Linked DNA regions of Nothobranchius furzeri. The protein of the gene in region 2 binds, or shares a complex with, the protein of the main gene of each other region. Links are inferred from orthologs where the notes say so. Each region holds a gene or a part of one and is shown on either strand. Other genes may lie near its edges. The genes, in order: gps2, hdac3 and coro2aa.

What was found.
Region 1: hdac3 (region 2) and gps2 share a complex: the UniProt entries of both Homo sapiens proteins name them as parts of the N-Cor repressor complex. The link is inferred for Nothobranchius furzeri from reciprocal best matches to the Homo sapiens genes HDAC3 and GPS2.
Region 3: hdac3 (region 2) and coro2aa share a complex: the UniProt entries of both Homo sapiens proteins name them as parts of the N-Cor repressor complex. The link is inferred for Nothobranchius furzeri from reciprocal best matches to the Homo sapiens genes HDAC3 and CORO2A.

What each region holds. Positions count from the first base shown.
Region 1 is NC_091742.1:53,237,693-53,241,921, reverse strand, and holds the start of gps2 (G protein pathway suppressor 2), read right to left. Parts: upstream 2,810-4,229; 5' UTR 2,670-2,809; intron 2,288-2,669; 5' UTR 2,264-2,287; coding exon 2,170-2,263; intron 1,838-2,169; coding exon 1,728-1,837; intron 1,077-1,727; coding exon 964-1,076; intron 877-963; coding exon 797-876; intron 720-796; coding exon 640-719; intron 508-639; coding exon 336-507; intron 265-335; coding exon 181-264; intron 89-180; coding exon 12-88; intron 1-11. UniProt on the Homo sapiens protein: Key regulator of inflammation, lipid metabolism and mitochondrion homeostasis that acts by inhibiting the activity of the ubiquitin-conjugating enzyme UBE2N/Ubc13, thereby inhibiting 'Lys-63'-linked ubiquitination.
Region 2 is NC_091741.1:31,103,496-31,107,599, reverse strand, and holds the start of hdac3 (histone deacetylase 3), read right to left. Parts: upstream 2,816-4,104; 5' UTR 2,032-2,815; intron 1,935-2,031; 5' UTR 1,884-1,934; intron 1,796-1,883; 5' UTR 1,751-1,795; intron 1,669-1,750; 5' UTR 1,604-1,668; intron 1,528-1,603; 5' UTR 1,430-1,527; intron 1-1,429. UniProt on the Homo sapiens protein: Histone deacetylase that catalyzes the deacetylation of lysine residues on the N-terminal part of the core histones (H2A, H2B, H3 and H4), and some other non-histone substrates.
Region 3 is NC_091744.1:13,219,325-13,222,972, reverse strand, and holds part of coro2aa (coronin-2A), read right to left. Parts: coding exon 3,642-3,648; intron 3,231-3,641; coding exon 3,051-3,230; intron 2,443-3,050; coding exon 2,326-2,442; intron 671-2,325; coding exon 566-670; intron 491-565; coding exon 394-490; intron 1-393.

The DNA.
Region 1 (4,229 bases), on a different chromosome or scaffold from region 2:
TTTGCTCTTACAGCATCAGTAAAGCCGGACTGTTGGTTGGCGTGTTCCAGCTGCTTCTGTAGAGATATCGTTGGTGCTGGGATGTATCCTGAAACAAACAATTCCTACTAAGTAAAAAAACAAAACATCAAGCGTAGTTTAAACAACAGCGCTGGGCTGCGACATACGGGTGAGACTCACCTGACTGAGAGGTAAAAGGGCTGTGAACAGGATAACCAGCCTGCTGATGAGGGAGGTACTGCATGGCTTGAAACGCAGACGCACCTGAAGGTAAACAGATGTTTAGACAACACTTCCTGTTGTCCTCAAGCTGATTCACGTTACTGATGCCTCACCTCTGATCTGAGAACTGCTGGGGAAACTGACGGGTACTGAAGGTCCTGGAGCATAGGAGGAGGGGTGCTGGGCCTGAGCCACCCCGTAAGGCTCATGGACGCCCTGGCTCCCGCTGAACTGTCCGTGTTCTGCTGAGCCTGAACTGAATGTGGGGGTCTGATAATGGCGGGTCTACAAGGGGAGATGAAGGTATTAAGAAAAGGGACTTCTTATTTCTTCTCACTTCTGTTTACACAGAGACTGTTTAGAATAAAAATGAGTACATTTGATGTTTAGGGGAGGCCAGAGATCCTGTTGACTTACAGGGATCACAGAAGCAGAGAACAGCTGTTTGCTGCGTTCTCCCAGCAGAGCGCCGGGTCGACTGTGGCTGACTGGGCTGCCTGAGACAACAGAAGTCACAGGACAGTTAAAACTACCGCCTACAGTTCCTGACGGAGGACCAGTGACGCTGTCTCACCTGGGATACTGAGGAGGTGCTGCCCTGTGTGCATGGACAGACTGGGCTGGTAGCTGGCTGATGTCAGGGTAGTGATGTCACTACAGAAACAGGAAGGGGCACAGGCTGAATTCCACCAGTCATTAAATGATTTAAAAAAAAAACTCCATAATATTATTGGGTTATACCTCTGCTCCTTTCTGCGCCTCTTCTCTTCTTCGTGGAGAACTTTCTTGAGTTGTAAAAACAACTGATGCTTCTCCTCTTGGAGTCCCTGCAGCTTTTCTTCCATCTTCATCACCTGGTGTTAAAATACAGGCACAGCATGTTTTTGTATCAGAGCTATTAACTCTGATAACGCCGTAAGCTCCAGTTGGTACAACATTCAGCAGCACGTGTCCTAACAAAAACTCCCTTACCTCACCATATCACCCCATCCTCAACAGCTTCATTGGATTCCACTGCAAGCCAGGATCGATTTTACAATTCTCCTGCTCACCTTCGAGGCCGTCCATAACCTTGACCCTCATTACCTAACAGATCTCCATGTCGTCACCTCGTCCCGTTCCCTCAGATCATCCTCCTCCTTCATCTCTCTGTGCCCTCTGTACGCCTCAGCGCCATGGGGAGTAGAGCCTTCTGTTTCATCGCTCCCAAACTCTGGACCTCCCTTCCCCCTCGCATCAGGAACATAAACTCACTTACTCGATTCAAAACCAGCTCAAGACTCACCTCTTTTTTAAACCACCCATCTACTTTGAATTTTAGAGTGCCTTGTTTATTTTCTTTCCTTGTACTTATGTTTACTTACTTACTTATTTAATAAATTTGTGTTTTTATCATGTACAGTCACCTTGAGTGTATAGAAAGGCACTTTTAAATAACATTTATTATTATTATTAACAAAAATAAAACAAGCTGAAGATGGAAATGTGATTTTTATGTTACCAACCTGTTCTTTGGTTTCCTCTAACGACATCCTCTCCTCTATCTCCTTTGTCCTCTTTCTCTCCTCCTCTTCCTTTAGCTTCTGCTCCATCATCTTGTCTACTTCCTCTTCCTCTGAAAATCACATTATTAAGCACGCAGAAAACCTACATTATTTAGAGAAGAATAAACACTAGATAAATGTAGACACATTTTGATAATTAAATGAACATTTTCATCGTTTAGATCAATTGCCTGTTGATGTTTGTGTCTTGGAGCAAAAATTGTCTAGTTTAGTAACCAATGACTGTAGAAAAGAACTGGATGGGGATGAGAACTGGGATTTTTTTTTAAAAGGACTGAGATTCTAGAACAGAATGGAACAAAATCAGAATTGTACAGAAAGTGTATTGTATCGGCTACAAGTTCAGTATATGGTCCGTTCAGTCAGAGAAGCACCAACACACCTTGCCTCTTGCGCTCCCTCTCCCTCATGATGTGCTTGTGGAGGGCTCTGGCCATCGCGTTAGACAGCTTGGGTCTCTCCAGCAGTGCGGGCATAGTGACAGGCAGCGGAGGGGCCAGCTAGTGTGGTTAAGAACATCATTACAGGGTCACCAAGCAGACCCGGAAATCATTACATTGGGCAGTACGTAGCTAGCGTGTAGCAACTCCATAATAAAGCACGAGTAAAATGGGATAAAATGCTATTAGCTGTAGGCTAGGCTAACAAATACTGTAATACACGTTATTATGAATATTTCTAACTTAAAACTCTCCTGCAAACACGAATACATTTTGAAACACAAGCTATGTGCTTCTTCACAAGCAAAACTGTGACAAATTAGTTTTTTGGGGACACATAGGGAGTTACGGTTTGCTAGCTAGATGCAAAGCACGTCGCCGTGTTGCCTGGTTTAGATCGACTTTACTTGAATGTCAATTTGCAAAATGTATTTAAACTTACTTTTGTCGTTTTGTGAGTCGTTTACGAAGAATTTAAATATGCTCCAGTATTCTATCTGTGGCGTATTTAGCTTAAACTTCTGCGCAGGTATAAATGAGCAAGGAGCGGTTTTGGGCCCGGGTGAGGAAGTCAATTTGCACTTTCGGTGGTGATGTTTCCTTCGCAAAGCATCAAGGGAATTGTAGTTTTACCCGTACTATTTATGAGCTTGGAAAATGGACAACATCCTTCATGGTTTTGACCAAGAATCTTTGTTCATTATCTGAAAACCTTAAAATAAGTACATCACACTTAAAATGTTTTTAGAGTTTAGCTCTTTGAAAAGTACTGTTGATTTAGAAAAGAATAGACTTTATTGATCCCACAGTGGGGGGAAATTCACTTCTCACAGAAGCACAAACGCTTAAAAGAATTATTTGAAGAACAACAAAAGGTACATGTATATATAAACACAAGCAGTAAGCTATTATCGTAACCTTCGACCACTAAAAACCATGAATGAAAATTTAAAAACTTGGGTTCCAGAACTATGCAGCATACTGCAAGTGGTCCATGCAGTCAGATGTTCGTCCGCTCCTGCACCCCTCATCTTCTGCTGCAGTAGACACGGCTGGACGTGTTGAAAGCACTTGAGAAGTCGAAGAACATTTTTCTCAGTGCTTTTTTGCACCTCAAGGTGTCGGGGCCTGGTGCTGCAGGTAGATGAGCACGTCCTCCACCTCATGTTTGGTTTCTATGCAAATTGCAGTGGATCTACTTCCAGGCTCACCATTGAACGTAAATGGGTAAAGATGAGTCTCTCCATAATCTTCCATCAGATGGGAGATCAAGGCGACTGGTCTGTAGTGGTCTGGTTCCCAGGGATGTGATGTTTTGGGAACTGGAACCACACAGGAGGTCGTCCACGTAACGTGGACCTGCTCCAACTGAAGGCTCAGGTTGAACATGTGCGTGACATGTGCGTCTTTGAGCACTCTGGGGCTGATCCCGCCAGGACCTGCAGCCTTCCTGCTCTTAAGCCACCTTGGTTCTCTCCTCACCTGGTCAGATTTAGGGGGGGTGGGGGGTGCTGAGGGTTGGTAGTGAGAGGAGATGCTGTTGAATGGTGTAAAATTTGTAAAATATGTAAAATTATTGAATTGGAATGTCCCACCGCATCTTACTCTGGATTTGTGTGTGTGATTAAGAACATTCAATTAGAAAACATGTACCTGATGAGCAATTTTCTACTATTAGAATAAAAAGTTTGTGTTTCCTGGTTAAACTGAGCACCCTCAAATCTTAAGGCAGTAAGTCACACCTTTCAAATAGAGGAACAGAATCTAAAGGCTGAACAAAACTGACGTTTGAACATCAACAACTGCTGTTCAAGATCCAAAATTCAATAAAAACCACAAATAGATTTCTAATAACATTTTATCAAGTACGGCATTGAATGGAGAGAGAGAGCCAGTAAAGCAGCTGTATACAGAGTTCAATCTGTTATTAAAGAAAACAAACTTTAAAAAAATTGCACTCAGCTTTACAATACCTTTAGAAAATAAGCCATCTAAAATGAAC
Region 2 (4,104 bases):
TTTGATGTGTCATAATTTATTCTTCTCTATCTTGCAAATACATATTTGTGTGGCAATGTCATGCACAACACACACAACTATTAGATCCTTAAGATCAAACCCGTGTCATTCTTTTGGTCCACTGCAGTGCAGCAGTCAAAAAAAAAAAGAAAAAAAAAAAAGAATAAGTGAAGTGGCCACAAATGGCCAGGATAGAGCCCAGAGTGCTAATGTTTAAAATGTATACAAATATTATTGATTTCAATTCTTTACTGTTAATATCAACAATAAGCTTTTTATTTTGAAATTACAAGTATAAAAAAAATGCTGTTACATTTACATTTAATGCTGTTACTCTGTAATCCTTTCTTAAAAGTATGAACATAGAATCAAGTGAACAACATTTTGAAATAAGTTTAATTGGAATTTTGTACTATACAAAAACAAAACAAAAACAACAACAATGACATATTAAACAAACAAACAAACAAACACAGTCAGTGCCTTCATTTGTCCATTACATGTCAAACATAGTAGCACTGACCCTTAGTCCCTGCTCATCAGCAAGTGCTTTCAAAAAGAGCTCCATGTCCTCTGCAAACTGAAAAACAAACAGGAACATGTCCCTTGCTCCAGTGTCGTCTTCCTCTGACATGTCTCTTAAGACCCTCTGCTGGTCCCCTTGATTTAAGGACAGATATTTTGGCATTGTTTTGGACAACCCACTGCACAGCAGGACGCAGATATTCAACAACTGCTGGCTCCTGTGTCAGGTAAATGGGGATAAAAACACAGCTATTTCTCTGTTGCAGAACAGTTTTTTTAACTTCGTCTTCGTCTTCGTCTTCCTCCGCTTATCCGGGTCCGGGTCGCGGGGGCAGCATCCCAACTAGGGAGCTCCAGACCGTCCTCTCCCCGGCCTTGTCCACCAGCTCCTCCGGCAGGACCCCAAGGCGTTCCCGGACCAGATTGGAGATGTAACCTCTCCAACGTGTCCTGGGTCGACCCGGGGGCCTTCTGCCGGCAGGACATGCCCGAAACACCTCCCCAGGGAGGCGTCCAGGAGGCATCCTGACCAGATGCCCAAACCACCTCAACTGGCTCCTTTCGATCCGGAGGAGCAGCGGTTCTACTCCGAGTCCCTCCTGAATGTCCGAGCTCCTCACCCTATCTCTAAGGCTGAGCCCGGCCACCCTACGGAGGAAACTCATTTCGGCCGCTTGTATCTGCGATCTCGTTCTTTCGGTCATTACCCAAAGCTCATGACCATAGGTGAGGATTGGGACGTAGATCGACCGGTAAATCGAGAGCCTGGCTTTCTGGCTCAGCTCCCTCTTCCCCACGACAGATCGGCTCAGCGTCCGCATCACTGCAGACGCTGCAGTTTTTTAACAGTTATTCAAATGTCACTAACCATGTAATTACACTACTGTTTAAAGTGAATACTGACCTGACTGACTTCCTGGAACTTGCGCTTTTTCAGTCTGAAAATGGGCACGTGTTGTCCTTCAAGCACAGCTTTGGCTTCCTCTCTCCAGCTTGCCAGAGCTTAACAGAAAATGTTGATATTGTTAAGGTGTGTAAACTTTGACACAACATAGAACAGAAGTCAAAATATAAATACCTCCTGAGATCAAAGTTCTCCATCAACAGCAAGCACCACCATTTACGCAAGTAGGGCATGTCTGACTAAAATATTAATATGAAACATATTTAACAACTTTCAAAAGATTCAAGACTCCATTGCTGTGAAAGTAAATAGAATACTTACTATAGTATAGTCAAATGGTGCATCCAGTGCCACGTACAGAGCAGACTATTTGGAAGAAAAAATAAAAATGTAATTTTTTTAGAAGCTTAAATTAGCTTCTGTATGAATCTCAAGAAGAGAAGAGAAAAATTACCATCAGCATGAAGATCCCACAGTCAACTCCATAGTCTTGTCTTGGAAAACCCTGTATAACATTGAAAATAAAGGCTCATTAATAAAATCCCTTAAAAGAAGACTAGTGTAATTCATATTATTCACCATACACTTAAACTAGCACATACCTTCAAGTCAAAGCTCTTTTTTTCTGACCACTGCCCGGGAATGAGCTTCACTGCAAGATTCCTTTTTTTCAAGACAGTCACATTCACAAGTTAACAGACATCATCATGATGGGTGTTAAATGTTTATTGCTAATAGCACCAACTGTAACTACAGGCCTTAGGAACACGACCTCAACAAAACAGCATAACAAAATGAAAAAGTACAGTCACATGCTCACAGTTGGTCAAAATAAAGCATTTTCAGCTTTAATTTGAGGCTGGCATATTTTATAAACTAATATTTAATGGTGTTTTATGTTAAACTAAAACGTTTGAAGACCCTATTTATGTCTGAAACTCATCTAAAGACAGCATCACTGACTTGATCAGAAAGTGAAGATGAGAAATAGAATAAAATGTTGAAGCATCGTGCTGATATAGTTTATAAAAAAGCATGTGAGTGTACTGTATGTGTGAAGAATCAAGATCAGCAGAACATGATCATGCACTTAACCTGGGACACTGAACAGGTTCCTGAAAATTCTGGAACAAACCAAAAATGCTTATAAAAATGTGACCTCAAAAGTGAAACATATTGTTGGCCACCAAATCCTGCCTTTGTGTATAATGGGTCAAGAAAGAGGATTTCTCTTTTAGGTGGCTTCAGTACCTAAAAGACAGTTAGCCATGACTTCAAACCTGAAAACGATGTCATTGCAAGCGATCACAATCAAAGACTTTTGAAACTGCGTCATAAAAGCTTGAATACATCTCAGACGCATAGCAACATTCTAACAGTTTGTATGTGTCAAAAAACAAGACTTACACACAACTGGAAATGAGCAGGTGTCCAGAGAGGGAGAACTATGATGTCCATCCTCGTTTTAAAGCAATCTTCAGATGAGTATATTTTATTTTTGTGATCCTCACCTGCAGATTTTCTCTTAAAAAAAGGCAGAGTTCAAGAGACAAAACAACGTGGTTGTCCAAGTTGTGAAGCCCATCTGTCCACTCCTGGTATCTGCAGACCATGTGACACTGAGGACACAATCTATGGTGTGTTGAAACATCTGTTAAAGACAAATCACATCAATGTCAAAACATTAGTATAGGAACAATAATAACCAATTATTTCACACTGATGTTTAATCATATTCATTAAAACTTACTCTCAATCACTCCCATCATGCTGACAATCCTCACTTTAATGGTGATTAGAACAGCCTCATCAAGTTTGGGTGCTCTGGGCACACCTGGCACAACGTTTCACATGGAAAGAGCTGTTTCTGATGATCCATTTTCTGGAAGAGATACAGGAATTTTTTTCTCTTTAAAAATATAGCGTATACTCCTTTCAACGGCAGCATTGTCCTCAAAGGAAGAACTCCCCTGAGTCATCTGTGATGGGGTGCCTGATGATAGTGGTACAGTTGATTTGAAGATGTCTCTCTGTGTCTGGAAGAGATGCCATTTAGCTATGTTTTTATGAGGACACGATATTCGTGGCTTTGCACAAGCGCAATGCCAGGTGTTCCTCAGAGCATTGTAAGTCACAAATATTCTGCCAAGATGGCAGAAACTGTGTATTTCCGGCTCAAATACAGACAAACAGATCTGTGTTGAGGATCCACCAAAATCCACCCTCACACAAAGTGGAGCATGTGCCATCTGGGCAGCTTTCTGACTCTTTATGCATGTAGCAGCTTTGGCCTCTCCAAAACATTTAAGGTCCACCATTTCCATCACGATGTGCTCTTGATGAAAAACCTCCTTCACAGTTTCTCGGCAGTAATCTAGTGAGCGAAGGTGCTAATATAAACTGAAGCCTAGTCCGCTCCGCTGGGCCAGCAACTGGTATTGCTGACATTCCTCCAGCTCACATCTGATATTGTGAGACATCCCCATGTTTTCCTCTGAACGTGAACTGGCACAGAAAATCCATGGCCAGTTCTCTGCACAGCAAATAACCCTGTAGTTTCATCTACACAAACACACTGCAGATGACTGGCCAGGCAAACATCTATTGACTGGTTGGAGTGCTTCCTCATCATGTGAGCCTTGTAGTTTTTGGTACGAAGAGTAAGGCCACAGTGA
Region 3 (3,648 bases), on a different chromosome or scaffold from region 2:
GTTATTTGCTTACAGGTGAAAGGAACGTCAACCAGATGTTTTCCAAACTTGAAGCTCGCATGAGAACTTTGTGTAACTTTTCCTAAAGTTTGAGACTTTTAAACGTGTGTGTGTGTGTGGTCATGGACGTAATTTTCACTTTAGAAGTGGGGGGGACCCGGGGGGGGGGGGGGGGGGGGGGGTTGGAGGACAGTTATCTGATGGGAAACAGGCTTCAACACAAACGGTTGTTTTCTGCTTGGTCCTAGAGCTCAATCAGTGTCAATTTAATATAGCGTAATATTGTTTTTGGATGGTTAAAAAGTGCAGGGGTCAAAATTTGACTTTGGAAAAAGTGGGGGGGACATGTCCCCCCTGTCCCCCCAAAATTACGTCCATGTGTGTGGTCCTTACCCAATCCTTTCTGAGGTACATGTGAGCGATACTCCGTTAGAAAGTGGATGTAGGGTTTTTCTGAGCTGATCTCATAATATCTGATGTTTCCATCACCCTGTGAAACAGTGAAACTCTTGTGAAGACAAGATCTGATGCAGTATTTTGGATTATGAATCAGTTTTGGATTTACCTTGCCAGCTAGGTAGAGCATGTGTGTGTCAGGGTCGTAGAAAGGGAAAATGACCCCGGAGGAACCATCCAGGTTCTCCTGCAACAAGGGCCCCGACAGATCGTCCTACAAACACACACGAAGATTACGAAAAATGAAATGCACAACAAACAAGAAAATCCCCCTGATATGAAACTACTGAATCATTTTAATCCACAGCTGTAGAAGAGCTGAATTAAAACTGAGTGCTTCATCTCTAATCCATGTTCTGCTTTAATCCCCCGCCCACGATGCACACCCACCCCTCACAGTGCAGACTCCCGGGTGTGGTCAGAGCGCTGCGTGGGGAAAGGTGCAACTCTGAATTTATTTCATCTTAAACTGTGGCAAGTTCAGGTAAACTGATGAGAGGTTTAGTTATTATCTGTCCACTAGATGGCAGCATTGCACATCACACTGAAGCTACACACCTGGAATGATTTCAGTATCTGGTGAGGGGGCCTAAATCTCATCACCAATGAAACCAGGGTTCAGTAAATTAAAACAAGGAGACAAAACAAGCAAGGATACTTTAAAAATCAAAGTATATTACAGAGAACAGAAAATAAGAATTACAAAGAAAAATAATAATTGAGATCATCCTTCCAATAGCAGCTAGCTTAAGGGCTGCGACTAGACTCATAGAATCTGGGGTTATAATACGTAACCAACGTTCTTTGCACTAAATCTTTTCTCAGTGGTCTAGTGGTAGAGTGTCCGCCCTGAGACTGGGAGATCAGGGGTTCGATTCCTGGTCGGGTCATACCAAAGACTTTGAAAAAATGGGACCCAATGCCTCCCTGCTTGACACTCAGCATTAAGGGGTTGGATTGGGGGGTTAAACCACCAAATGGTTCCCGAGCGCGGCTGTGTCTGCTGCTCACCGCTCCCCCAGGGGATGGGTCAAATGCGGAGAACAAATTTTGCACACACACCTGTGTGTGACAACTAATGGGACTTTAACTTTAAATCCCTCTCACATAAAGCTATTTCAGTTGTTTTATTCTTAGCATTTTCAGTACCTTCCAGAATGAGCCGTTTCAGGGCTCTGTCACTTTAAGAAAACAATCTGGAGCTGGACACGCTCCCCCCTCCCCCACTCAGGCTGCTGAAAGCTGAGAATCTCTGATATCCAGGGGGGCTCTGGGGAGAGCCACTGCTCCTCCGGCCGCAGCTCTCTCTTGCACATGAAAGGCGGTTCTATCCTAATTTGTGATATCACAAATGGGGACTTTTTGAATTGGCTTATTTTAGGCACATAATTCCTAAAACCAAACACTGACAAAGAACGTATGGATGGATTTCTTTCATGTTTAGAGTGGTAATAGAGGCAGTGAAGACCCACATGGCAGCACAAAAGGATGCAAAAGCTGAGTTTTGCATTGTATGTCCCCTTTAAAAACAAATCTTTGTTTTTGGATATCTAGTAGTTAAGAATAAAAGTCTCTTAACAAGTCAAAATAAAACATTTTAAATAAAATCCAGCCTCCCTAAATAATAAATGAGTCCAAACAGAATTATAGCAGAAGAAGCTGATGTCCTCTTTAGGGAACGTGGGGTCCCGTGGAGCTAATGATGAGCAGAATCGAGTCATAATCCACATTTCTTCACAAGAACAGAAGTAAGCCAGTTTTGTCTGAGTTGTCATGATGTATTTAAGAATAATCTACAGAAAATGCCCAAGCTCAGAGCAGCAGAACAGATAAATATTTGTAAACGGGCCCAAGGGCAGCAGGTCTCACCTGATCCCACAGAGCGATCTGTCGATCGTTGTAGCGCGAGGTGCCAGACGTCAAAAGCATCTTCATGTTTCCAAGAATCAGCACCTTACTGGCTTTGTGTGTTTTGCAGTTACCTTCCTGCAAAAAAGGGTTAGAAAAGACAACAAAAAGTGAAGGTCTCCCATCTGAAAGACCTGATGGTTGAAGTAAATATGATGGATTGTTTTGTGAAAACATCTCCACACAACAGGTTTAAAATAAAATAAAAATATCTATTTTTCTGCTGCGGCGTTTTATTGTCTCTGAGCAAAAGTGTTCAACAGAAAGTGACAGCGGACTAAATTAAAAGTGGGTGTGCTTCAGTGGCTGCTGACCCAGAGGTCTGAGCAGCCCGCTGTGATCCAGGCCAGGACTAAGGTGTCAGTTTTGGCTGTGTGGTGCTGGATGAGTGCCGCGGTGCTGCAGCCATGGAGACTCCAGCTAACACCCGGCTGTGAGGCTCCTACAACACCGGACCAAAAACTCTAAAGTTCAATAAGTTCATTTAGCAAAACTAAAGTCCATGATTAGCTCACTAGATTTATCTCTGTTTGGATTTCCTTTAGCAAACAAAAACAATTTGTTTCAATCTTCAGCTGGATGAAAAACAAGCTACTTCCTGATACGCTTGTGCTGATCTCCTGAGCTGAACTCAAAGGTGGAAGCAACCTAAGATCAATGACTGCACGCATTAATGTGTAGCATACCTGCAGCAAGTTCCCCGAGCGAGGCTCCATCAGCCGGACCTTCCTGTCCCTGCAGGTGGTGGCGAAGAGGCTGCCATCTGTGTTGAAGGACATGGACAGAACCACATCGGTGTGGTGGCTGATGGTCCGGACCGGGTTCTTCATCACCTGCTCTGGAGAGTCCAGGTTCCAGATCATCACCTGGAGGGACACACACACACGCACGCACGCACGCACACGCACACACACACACACACACACACACACACACACACACACAAGTTTGAACCAGACTTTTAAAACGTGGAAGGTTACGACCTAGATTATATCTCTTAATGGTCCGTTTTTATTACCAATGCTAGGAAGATGATCAGCCATAATGTCATTCTGGTCAATAAGCTAACGCCTGAAGCTGGATCTAGAGGCGTGCTGTAATGGTCACAACAATAGCACATTCTGTTTATATCTCAAAGGAATTCACGCCGTTTAACACAGCTGTGTGTGTGAAAGCACACCGGAGCTGTTTGAGAGTCTCTTCATTTTGTGATTTAAGAAAGAAGCTGGAAGCAAATCTAGATTGGGCCGCAGGTGTGCAGGTGGGGTTTGTGTCACCTTGTAG